Linked DNA regions of Diceros bicornis minor. The protein of the gene in region 2 interacts with the protein of the main gene of each other region in a pairwise test. Links are inferred from orthologs where the notes say so. Each region holds a gene or a part of one and is shown on either strand. Other genes may lie near its edges. The genes, in order: RNF168, RNF11 and rab5 GDP/GTP exchange factor.

Region 1 (3,747 bases), on a different chromosome or scaffold from region 2:
AGCCCATCTTATGTCTCTCTGGCCACATTCTCTGGATGGCCCTCCAAGGAGTTGCCAGAAAAACATTTACATTTATAAGGGAAATCTCCATTTGTAAAGGTATCTCCCTCTCTGTATTGGGAAGAGGGGGGATGGCCTCATTTCTAGAGGCTTATCAATGTGGAAGGTGAGGCCTTAAATCTGCATAATAACCTTACTCTTGTTTACTGTGCTTTAGTGGTAATCTCCTGTAATTGACTCCCCCCCACCCCCAACATCCTCCTTTGTCATTGGCTGAACATGGTATTTAAGAATTTCTGCTATTGTGTGGAGAAAGGCAGTGTCCCTGCTTTCTCCCATGTATACATGTTATTAAACTTGGTATTATTTTCTCCTGCTAACCTGTCTTGTTAATTATTTGGCCAGCCATAAGAAACCTTAAGGGAAAGGGCAGAGGGGGATTCTCCCTCTTCCCCCACATTGTTAAACTATTTTCTTTTTGACTTCCTTTGTAATTTTGATTGTTCTAGATTGAAATATAATAGTAAAGTAGTACATTACAAATGAGGCACATAACTGCTGAGCCCCAGGATGGAAGCAGCCCTGCACTTTGTTTCCCAACTCCTTAGGAAGAAAGGCAACCCAATACAATCTATCTCTGGGCCGGAGACTTAGAAAGGGGCTGGGCTCTACAAGCAAGCGTAAGTGCCTGTTAAAGGGCAGGAAGTTCGCAGAGTCTCTGACCACACCCTTTCTCGGAGACCAACCTTGGAGCTGCTTTTCCAAGAACTCTGGAAAGCGACCTAAGAGGCTTAGTTATAAATTAACAAAAACAGAAAGGTAGTTTGAGCAGTACTGAGGGACGCATTTCAAAAAACCACTGTACGGTTTTTCAATTTGTTTTGAGGTTTCACGTTTCTCTCCAGACACAATCTCGCAACACTCCGCGGTTTCCACAGCCTCTGGGAGCCGACGGCGCAGGGGAGGATTGTACTCCGCCCAAACTGAAGCACTAGGAGCTGCGACGCGCCGGCAGGGCCCTCTTCCGGACCGGAAGTCCCACCCACCAAACGTTAAACCTTGAGCGGTTCCCTGGGTAGGAGGGGCTGTTTTGGCGGGCAGTTGTGACGTCACTAGACGTCGTCGGGTTGCTACGGCACCACCGCAGCGATTACGCTTTTCGGCTGATCGAGGTGGGGAGGGGCGCAGGGCGCCGGAAAAGTGGAACGCGGGGGCTCCCGGGCTTTGCCTACTGCAACGGGGAAAAGGAAGTGCTGCTCCAGCGGAGCCCGGCGTCCGGGCGGAGGCAGCGTTGTTGCCGGAGCGGCGGCCTGGGGCTTGGCTGCCGGGAGCTAAGGGAGCATCCTCACCTGGTAAGAGGGAGGAGGAGAACTTGGCGCGTTACCCGCGGAGAGCCGGAACCCACCGTCCGCTCTGCCGCAACCGTTATGTAAATACCTCGGAGCGGCCAGCGTCTCCAGACAGAAACGTTCATTTATTTTCTTACCCGACTTTGCCTTAAATGTGGACAAATACACCGCCTTCCAGGGAGTACTGTTTACCTGGGCCGCAGAGCTCCTTTTGCCTCAAGACGAGTTTGCGCCCAATCTGTGAATTCTGACGCGCTGCTGGGCATAATATTGAAACACAGAACTGTTAATTTGCTTTCTGCGTAGTTGGTCCGGAACTACGCTTCTTTGTCTTTTCGGGCGTTCATGTTGAATCTGCCTTATTAGCATCTTAATATGGCTGTACCCAAAGACGCCATCCCTTCCTTGTCGGAATGCCAGTGCCCGATTTGTGTGGAAATCCTGATTGAGCCCGTAACACTCCCTTGTAACCACACGCTCTGTAATCCATGCTTCCAATCGACTGTCGAAAAGGCAAGTTTATGCTGTCCCTTCTGTCGCCGCCGGGTCTCTTCGTGGACCCGGTACCATACCCGAAGAAAGTCTCTTGTCAATATGGAGCTGTGGGAGATAATTCAAAAGCACTATCCAAAGGAATGTAAGCGGAGAGCCTCTGGGCAAGAATCAGAGGAAATAGGTGAGTAAACCAGCCTGATTATTGGCTAAAAAAAAATCCATTAAAAAGTGAATACCCACTTCTCTATTTTAAAAAATGGTAAAGAAAGCACGACTAGTGTTTGTCTAGATTCTTCACGGGGGGTTGGGTTTTATGGGCCCCAAAATGTTGGTTAAGGTCAATGGCGAGATTTGTTCATTGTCATATTGCGCAGCCTGTGTTCAGTTGATGTTTGTTGGGTTAAAAGTGGAAGGAGAAAAAGATAAGAATGGCCCCTGTAGAGCCTTTAATCATGTGAAAAGTTATATAAGTATTCAAAGATGAGCAGTAATCCTAGTACAGCAACAGCAAAAGTAAGGAAACTACTGGATTCCTGTGTTAATATTTCTTGTATTTTCATTTCCTTTCTCTAACTTGCTTATATAGCTCCGTTCATTTAATTCTTCTCTTAAGCATGCAATCAGCCTAAAACAGCTTTCTATTGCCAGTTCTATCTAGTTCAGTCATTTTTATTCAGAGCTCTCCAGTGTGGACTCAATAGCTATTTAGTATGCCCCAAACTGAACACTTGGCTCCAGCAGCTTGATCACTTGTGTGATCAATAAACCGTGCAGTGTTCCTTATCTATGCTTTGAATGTGTTGCCTGTGCTCTGGTATACTTGCCTTTTTTTTTTTTTTTGAAATTATTTTTAGTGTGGAAAAATATATAACAAAATTTGCCATTTTTATTTTTACATATTTTTTTTAACTTCAAGCATAACTTTATTTTCCATAAGTACACTGATTTTAATGCAGGAATGTAAACATCCCTGGATCTGAAGATTCAGTATCTATATGGGGCTTAAAAATGATTTCCTTCTTTGATGGTAGGTGCCTCATTGCACAGATCAGTGGTCAGCTTCTGTTTGTAACCTGTCTATAAAGTTCTGATTTCAGACCAGGAGAGTTACAGGATAATCATATTTTTAACAGTAGTTATCTTTTATTAAAACTCCTTTATTGAGATATTCACATACAATTGATCCATTAAAAGTGTACAATGCGGTAGTTTTGATATTTTACATTTTTTTCAAAATTGTGGTAAAATATATATAACATATGAAATTTGCAGTTTTTACAATTTGGGGCATTAATTACGTTCACGATGTTGTGCAACCATCACCATTATCTGTTTCCAAAACTTTTTCATTACCCCAGACAAATTCTTTAACAATTAATCATTGACTCCCCATTCTTCTCCTCCCCCGACCCCTGGAATTTCTAATCTACTTTCTGTCTCTATGAATTTGCTTGTTCTAGATATTTCATATAAGTTTATTCATACAACATGTGATCTTTTGTGTCTGGTTTCTTTCACTTAGCATAATATTTCTAAGTTTCACGCACGTTGTAGCATGTATCAGTACTTCATTCCTTTCAAGAGCTGAATAATATTCTATTTTATGGATATATTTTGTTACACCTTCATCCATTGATGGACGTTTGGGTTGTTTTCACCTTTTGGCTGTTTGAATAGTGCTGATATGAACATTCACGTACAAGTAGTTGTCAGTACATTCTCAGTTCTTTTGTGTATATAGCTAGGTGTGGAATTGCTGAATCATATCGTGGTTCTGCTTAGCTTTTGAGGAACTGCCGAACTTTTCCACGGGGCTGCACCATTTTACATTCCCACCAGCAATGTATAATGGTTCCAATTTCTCCACATTGTCACCAACACTTGCTATTTTCCGGTTTTTGGT
Region 2 (3,747 bases):
CTTGTCTTCTTGTTGAATGAATCACTCTTAGGAGCATTCCCATCCTTCTTGTTTCCTTCCTTTGCACACATTGCTTCTTGAGCTGTTTGTTCATTCAACCCAGAAGAGAGCCTACTCTACCTTAGGCAATGTGCCAGGCTTTGCACAAAAAGAGGGACAGATGATTCAGCTTGATCAGGCTGTGGCAGAGAAAAGCTCAAGGACTGAGAGCACAGAGGAGGTGACTAACCCAGACTGGAGGGTTAGAAGAGCCTTCCCAGGGGAAATGAAGCTGAGTCCAGGAACGACAAGTGGGAATAACAGTTAGCCTGATGGGAAGTAGAAGGCTGCGAGTGGGGAGAAGTGAGTTTCTGTCAGAGAAACAACATGGGTAAAGGCTTCAGCCAGAGGGAACAGTTTTCTAGATAACCGAAAGTACTTTATTTAGACAGCCTAGAGTTTAGAATAGGTGACGAGGCAATGCTGGTAATGAGATTGGGGAGGTAGTCAGATTTGAAAAGCATTTAAGAATACTTATAACAGTATCGGGAAGCCATTAAGGTTTTAAACAGGGGAGTGACATGATCAGATTTACATTTTAAAAAGATAATTCAACTGTGCAAATAGTGGATTGGATGGGGGCAATGGCGAATGCAGGGAGAATAGCTGAGAGTGTTGCAGTAGTGTGGGCAAGAGATAATGGTGGCTTGGACTATGGTGGTGGGAATGGAAAGAAACAGAACAATCCCAGATATACAACTGGAGGAAGAATCTCTCTGGTTGTGACGGACGAGGATAAGGAAGTGACTGGAGACAGAGGGGAAGGTTCATTAGTGAGCTTGGACTTTATTCCGAAGGGATAAAGGGGAAGCCAATTAACATTTTAACCTAGGGAGCGACAGAATCAGATATGGGTTTATAAATAGATCACCCGGCAGAAGGCAGTGAGAAGCCCGTCAGAACAGTGCACAGGTAAGAGCTGAGGTGAGTGGAGAAGAAGAGTATATGGGAGGCGCGAGAGACCGAGAGAGGTTTCGGAGTCAGGTACCCAGTCAACTGTCAAAGAAAGAAAGAAACTGACGCAGCCCAGGAACAGCTGGGAGAGGGTGGGGGTAGGGGGGTGCGGCCGCGCGGCCGGAGCTGCCCACGCCTCCCGGCGCCGGGGGCGGGACCAGAGCACGCAAGGCGGCATGACGCAGGGCCGCAGCTGGCCTCGTTCTGGGCGCCGCCGCCGCTTTGAGGCGGAGTAGGATGAGGCCCGCGGCCGTGGCTCCGGCGTCGGCAGGGGCAGCAGCAGCTGAGGCAGCAGCTGAGGCAGCCGCGACGGCCGCGCCCCCCCCTCCTGACCTGGATTAGGCCCAGCAGCTCCGTGGCCGCCGCCGCCCCGCGGGGGGGCGGGGTGGGGAAGTGCTTCGTCTCCCCGCCCCCCCCGCCCCCCATCGCCGCCTCACGGGAGGCAACCGCCGCGACCCCGGCGGAGCCGGTGGCCCAGCCTTGAGCCCCCACCCCCGGGGACTGGCATGAGCGGCCCTTCGGCGGCGCCGGGGGGCGGGGGAGCCGCCGCCGCCGCCTGAGCCCCGGCCTGCCGCCCGACCCCACCTCGCTGACCGCGGCTTACCGCGAAGCGTGCGACGACCCCGCCACTGCTTTCTTACTCCCCCAGATCACACACCCCAGCTCCGGAAGATGGGGAACTGCCTCAAATCCCCCACTTCGGATGACATCTCCCTGCTTCACGAGTCTCAGTCCGACCGGGCTAGTTTTGGCGAGGGGACGGAGCCGGATCAGGAGCCGCCGCCGCCATATCAGGTAGGGGAGGGTGTGTATTTGGGGAGGAGGGGGTGCGAGGAGCAGAAACAGCTCCAGCCCAGATTGAGGGGGCTTCGGGGCTGTCACTGCCCCTGGCCTCGGCAAGGCCTGGCCTGGGGGGCGTTGACCCCCTTAGGCCTGGATCCAGGAGTGATTGCTCCCTACTCCCAGAATAGAGGGGATCCTTCACCTCTCCCTCGAGCATGGTGTGGGGATGGTACCCTCTGTCCTTGAGTTCTGGGATCCGAGTATGTGATCATAGCCCCTTGGCCAGTGACTGGTGGTTAGCTTGTGGAGTTTGGGAGTGACATTTTCCTGCCTTTATGCCTGAATCGTGGAATCTAAGCTGTGAGGTTTGGGGATGGTTTTCTTATCGCACCGGCAGCTGGATTGTGAGTTCTGGATAGGTGGTTGCCCCCCGCCCCTTTAAATTTTCATGTGTGATCGTCGTGTCCTGTCTCCCTCCTCCCCTCCTCCCTTGTCCGTTTGTGTCAGTTGGATCCGGTAGATGTTCATTTCTCCTTCTACTTGGGAGAAGACCTTTAAGTGGTCTTCAAGTGATTTTAGTCCCAGCGACATCGAGAGTTACTTGTTTACTTAAATGTATATATTAATTTTTAATCCCTCCTCCTTTTGCCCCACCCCTATGACACACCTTTTAATCACGCTGACTTAATAAAACTTGATTATCTTGAACTTTGGAAACCTTTAAACCTAACTTGAGAAATACCTTCTGTTACTCGTTTGTCTCCGTATGTAGCAGACTTCCTCCTAAATAGTTTCATTGCTTTTTGTTCAACAATCAGCAGCCCCAGATGTGTTTACACAATTAATAAAGAGCTAAGACCTCTTGAGAAACCTCAAAATAGATACGTAGATGTTATAATCCGTAATATATATAAAACCTTTTCCTCTGCTTTTTCGATTTTAAATGATGTTGATTAAAAACTTTTTCCAGAAGGGCTCGGGTAGTTAAGTGGCTTAATGTTTTTCCTGAAGGAGGTTTAGTTTTCTAACTAGGCAGTTTCCTTTGTTGTTTCATGTGGTGACATCATTATCTAGTGTTATTCTTTTCTCATTCTTGTGTAAACCAGTGTCTCATCACACCAGAAAAACCTGATCACTTTTGCTGGTTTTCTGGATAAAACCCTTCAGGGGTTTCATATATACCAATGAAGTCCAGTCTTAACTGTGTCATACAGAAGCCTCCGTGACTTCTCTCACGTTCGGTATTCCAGGCCTACCAAATACACCAGCCTGTTCACACCCCTCTGCCTTTGCTCCAGTTGCTCCCTCTGCTTGGAGCCCTTCCCCCAAGGTCAGCCAGGTGAACATCTAATCTTCTTTGAGGACTCAGCTCTCTTGTGTCACCTGCTACCTGAAGTTCCTGTATTTCCCTCTCTCCCCCCTGAATCCATGCACTTCCTTGTTTGTGTCCCCCCCCCCCGAACCCTCCCTCTACGCTTCCATGAGCAGCACATATAACACTTGAGTGTTTATCCTTGTTTAGTTAGATGTATGTCTCATCCTTGGGCATTTCCCTCCTCCCTCAGTGTAAGCTGCATGCAGGTGGAGACCCTGTGTCTCCTGTTTGCTCTTGTATCCCCAGCATCTGGCTCACAGTAAATACTCAGTAACTCCGGGATAAGTGAAGACTATAAGCCCTTGAGAACAGGGTCTCTGTCCCCAGTGCTTCCAGCAATTTGTGGAATATAAGAAGCACTTAAATGTTGAATGAATTAGTGAATTTGAATTCCATCTTATGTTTCGTAAGTTTACACACCCATTTCTTACAAAGAATTGTCACAGGGGAAGTCTTAAAAAATCCAAGCTAAATCTGGATGTCTTTCCACATCTTTGAAGCAATTGAATTGTATTTCACTCTTCGTTTCCCTCATAACGTGCTTATTTCAGTTTCACGAGCAAATTTTTTTAGAGGTATGAAATTTTATTTCAAAA
Region 3 (3,747 bases), on a different chromosome or scaffold from region 2:
TCCCTGAAACTGTTCTAATCCTCTAGGCCTCAATTTCCTTTTCTGTCACAACAGTGTGAGTATCAAATGAGGAATGGGTATAAAAATGGTTTAAAGAGCTAAAACCTTGATCCCTAGGAGAGGCCCTGCACTGACCCAGCCCCTAGCCAGCTACACAGCAACCAAGGCTGCAGACAGATGCGTTGGATCGTGCTGGACTCCGCCTCGCCAGCCTGGGAGCTTCTTTGGATGGGGCCTGTCTCCATTTGTGTGTCCAGGTACCCAGCGGAGGAACTGGCACGGACAGGGCGGAGAGTCACTGTCATTCTTAATTGAACTCAATTACCCCTATTTTGAGTTTTCGTTTTCGGATTCCTACTTGAGTCAATCGGGAAGGGCTGGAAACCCAGTCCTGGTGGGTTTTTGGCTTAAGGAGGGTCAGCACTCCTCTCTTACGACCTCCGTGACCTCAGCCATCCTCCGCCACATCCTCAGGCGTCTTCCCGCCACCTCCATTGAGGTGACCTTCCCCCCACCCCCGCGATTTCCCTGGCCCTCCACGCCCAAGGAGGCACAAGACCCGTTGCCCTGGAGACATACGAACGACTAAGTCGCGAGCCTTCCCTCCTCTCAAGTCACTAGGTGTCGACCCCGATGCTGGAGCCACCCTCACAGCCAACCAGGAGGCCAGCTTAGAGGCGGCGGCCGCGCACCCCCGCCCTGCGCGCCGGACGAGTGTTCGCGGGTGGAGAGGGCGCGCCGCTGGCCAGAGAGCCAATCAGAGCAGGGCAGGCAAGCAGGCCCGGCACCCAGTGGCCACTCAGGTGCAGGCTGAACGCGCCGCCTGCTCTAGGACTGGGCGAGCTTCCTGCCAATCAGGGGCGGGGCAAGCGGGGGCTCGGCCAATAGCGGGAGGCGGCCGGGTCAGGTCGGTGGCCCTGGGGTCCGCGCGGTGGTCCGCGTGCCAGTCGGCTAAGGGAGCGACCGCCCCCCGCCCTGCGCGCACTCGCTCTCGGCCCCGCCGGGCCCGCCTGTCGGCCGCGCCGCGTCATGCCAGGCGCTGCTCGGCGCTAGTGCCCGGGCCGCCGCCCGCCTGCCCGAAGCCGCGCCCACTGCCCAGAGCCAGAGGGATGGTGGTAGTCACGGGGCGGGAGCCAGACAGCCGTCGCCCGGACGGTGCCATGTCCAGCTCCGACGCCGAAGACGACTTTCTGGAGCCCGCCACCCCGACGGCCACGCAGGCGGGGCACGCGCTGCCCCTGCTGCCCCAGGAGGTACCTAGAAGGGTGGGGGGAGTGGGAAGGGGCGCAGGGGGAGACGCAGGTGCGGGGCACAGCTGACCTTGGGATGTGAGCAGCGCTGGGGTTGGGCATCCGGGATCGGGCTGAGGGCGGCGCCGGAGCAGCTGTGCTCCCCTGCCCACCCACCCACTCCCATCCCTCCGTAAAACCCACCAGGTGTGTCTCCCCTGCCCCAGGGACACCTGGCCCCCCACCCTCCTCTTTCCAGTACTCACTGCTTGCAAGGCTGATTTATTCCAATCCCTGTGTTCCACCCTTACCAACCAGAGGAGGGAGGGTAGGCCGTGGGAAGGGGACCTTGGAGCCTCAAGAGGTGATAGTGTCTTCTAGAAAATCCAAGAGGAGGCCTTGGTGGTTGCCCAAACCCAACCTTCAACTGCTCAGAGAGTGGAGTAAGGGGCTGTGCGCAGATAAGAAGCAGGCCAGTTAATGGATGTGTCCACACTCATCTGACAACTCTATGGCTTTCTCTCACTAGCTGCTGTCCTGTGATGCCCGGTAGCTTCTACTGGTCTTAATGTGTATGACACTACCATAGTAACACCTGAAATGACCCTCAAGAGAAGGGAAAAGAGGAGGGAAGGTGGGGCACTGCTGGGCACTAAAGATGGAAACTGGGAGGAAGGGACTAAGGTAGTGCCGGATATGCATGTGTGTGTGGAGTCCTAGGAGAGTGGACAGAGCCCAGAGGAGCAGCGCTGGGCTGGAGGAGGCTCTTGGGAAGCAGATAGTGTCCTCTTGTGCTTGGAAGCCCATACCCCCCACATCATGGGACGCTTGAGAAAATGAGCAAAACTCTAGAAGTGCTCTTTGCAGCTGGAAAAAGATTGCTATCAGAGACACAGCGGTGCATTTTTCCTCTCTGCCTCGGTCTTTTCACCTCTAGTATGGAGCAGACACTTGCGCTGGTATGAGATATCCTTGGAAAATGTTTAAAGAGCTCCAGAAATGTAAAGTATTATTATCCCCAAATAATATTTGAGTCCTTGGTATGCACACAGAATAGTTTCAGAGGAGCTATAGAATAAGCAGAAGGCATTCCTGTTCTTTGGGTGCAGACGAGTAACGGTACATACATGCACAGAATTGGAAACACCTGTCTATTTCATTCATTCGTTCAGTGCATATTTAGGTCTTTTTTTTTTAAAGACTTTATTTATTTATTTATTTTCCCCCCCAAAGCCCCAGTAGATAGTTGTATGTCATAACTGCACATCCTTCTAGTTGCTGTATGTGGGACGCTGCCTGAGCATGGCTGGAGAAGCGGTGCGTCGGTGCGCACCCGGGATCTGAACCCCGGGCCGCCAGCAGCGGAGCGCACGCACTTAACTGCTAAGCCACGGGCCGGCCCCATATTTGGGTCTTTACTGTGAGCCAGGCACTGTACTAGACCCTGGGTAACTTTGATTTAATCTATTTGTATCCTACCTTATTTCACAAAGGATTTGAAAGTTGGGGCAAAGGACTGTCTAGATAAATATACATAGACTTTTCACTGGAGCCAGAGAGATGTCGTAATATTGAAAAGTATGCACTGGGATAAAATTTTAGTTAATCTGGAGGAAGTTTGTGGGAAAATCAGAACTGGCTTTGTTTCTTTCAAAACTACAAGCAGTGAAAGATAGTAAAAAAAAAAAATGGTCCTGAGCATTTTAGGGAGAACCTAGAGCTTCTTGGGGCAAATGTATACCATCAGTCCCTGTCTTGCGCCCTGCCCTTGCCTCCAGAACCCTAGCTGGACTGGGAACTAATCTTCTCACTCTACAGATTAGGAAGGAGAGAAGTGGTAAGGCACAGAAAATGAGGAGTGATGCCTGGAATTATTCAATAAACATCTACGAGCCTTGCTCTGGGTGGCCTCTTGATTGATGAACAGGATGCTGTCCCTGCCTCAGGAAGCTTGGGGTCTAGTAGGGTGGGCCAACAGAAGAAAATAATTGCCAATGTATTCTGCTAGACACTATCAGAGAGTGTGGCACACAGTGAAGGTCCAATGGAGGGAGTGTTTAGTTAACTCTGTCTTGGGGACAGGCGAGAGACAATAGAGCAGAAATGCTCTCTGAGTAGAGAACCTGGAATGGAAGCTTTTAGAATGCATGGATGCTGCTAACCTATGTGGTGCCTTGGTGTGCGTTAGAAAAAGGGCACACGGCTGGACTAGCAGATCACTCTGATCCAGGTGCCCTTGTGCAGTGAACAACATGCACCACCAAATGGGGCAATCGAATTTGCTAGGTGGACAGAGGGAGCGTGGTAAGAGCATTTTGGAAAGAGAAGATAGTGTGAGCAAGGACACCAAAATGGTAAATTCAGGAAGTGGAAGGAGGACAATGAAGGCTTTGAACTCTAGAGCAGAGATAGTAGGATTGGGGTGGAGAGACCTGATTTAAGAGCCGTCAGAGGGAAGATGGAAGGACTTGGCAATTGATGAGTGTGGGGAAAGGGAGGAGAGAAAACAGTGTTCAGC

What was found.
Region 1: the proteins of RNF11 (region 2) and RNF168 interact in binary tests that used the Homo sapiens proteins (3 or more experiments, as listed by UniProt). The link is inferred for Diceros bicornis minor from reciprocal best matches to the Homo sapiens genes RNF11 and RNF168.
Region 3: the proteins of RNF11 (region 2) and rab5 GDP/GTP exchange factor interact in binary tests that used the Homo sapiens proteins (3 or more experiments, as listed by UniProt). The link is inferred for Diceros bicornis minor from reciprocal best matches to the Homo sapiens genes RNF11 and RABGEF1.

Annotation. Positions count from the first base shown.
Region 1 is NC_080754.1:27,476,325-27,480,071, reverse strand, and holds the start of RNF168 (E3 ubiquitin-protein ligase RNF168), read left to right. Parts: upstream 1-1,137; 5' UTR 1,138-1,724; coding exon 1,725-2,025; intron 2,026-3,747. UniProt on the Homo sapiens protein: E3 ubiquitin-protein ligase required for accumulation of repair proteins to sites of DNA damage. Acts with UBE2N/UBC13 to amplify the RNF8-dependent histone ubiquitination.
Region 2 is NC_080752.1:13,659,351-13,663,097, forward strand, and holds the start of RNF11 (RING finger protein 11), read left to right. Parts: upstream 1-1,240; 5' UTR 1,241-1,665; coding exon 1,666-1,788; intron 1,789-3,747. UniProt on the Homo sapiens protein: Essential component of a ubiquitin-editing protein complex, comprising also TNFAIP3, ITCH and TAX1BP1, that ensures the transient nature of inflammatory signaling pathways. Promotes the association of TNFAIP3 to RIPK1 after TNF stimulation.
Region 3 is NC_080765.1:19,584,815-19,588,561, reverse strand, and holds the start of rab5 GDP/GTP exchange factor, read left to right. Parts: upstream 1-1,032; 5' UTR 1,033-1,109; coding exon 1,110-1,253; intron 1,254-3,747. UniProt on the Homo sapiens protein: Rab effector protein acting as linker between gamma-adaptin, RAB4A or RAB5A. Involved in endocytic membrane fusion and membrane trafficking of recycling endosomes. Stimulates nucleotide exchange on RAB5A. Can act as a ubiquitin ligase.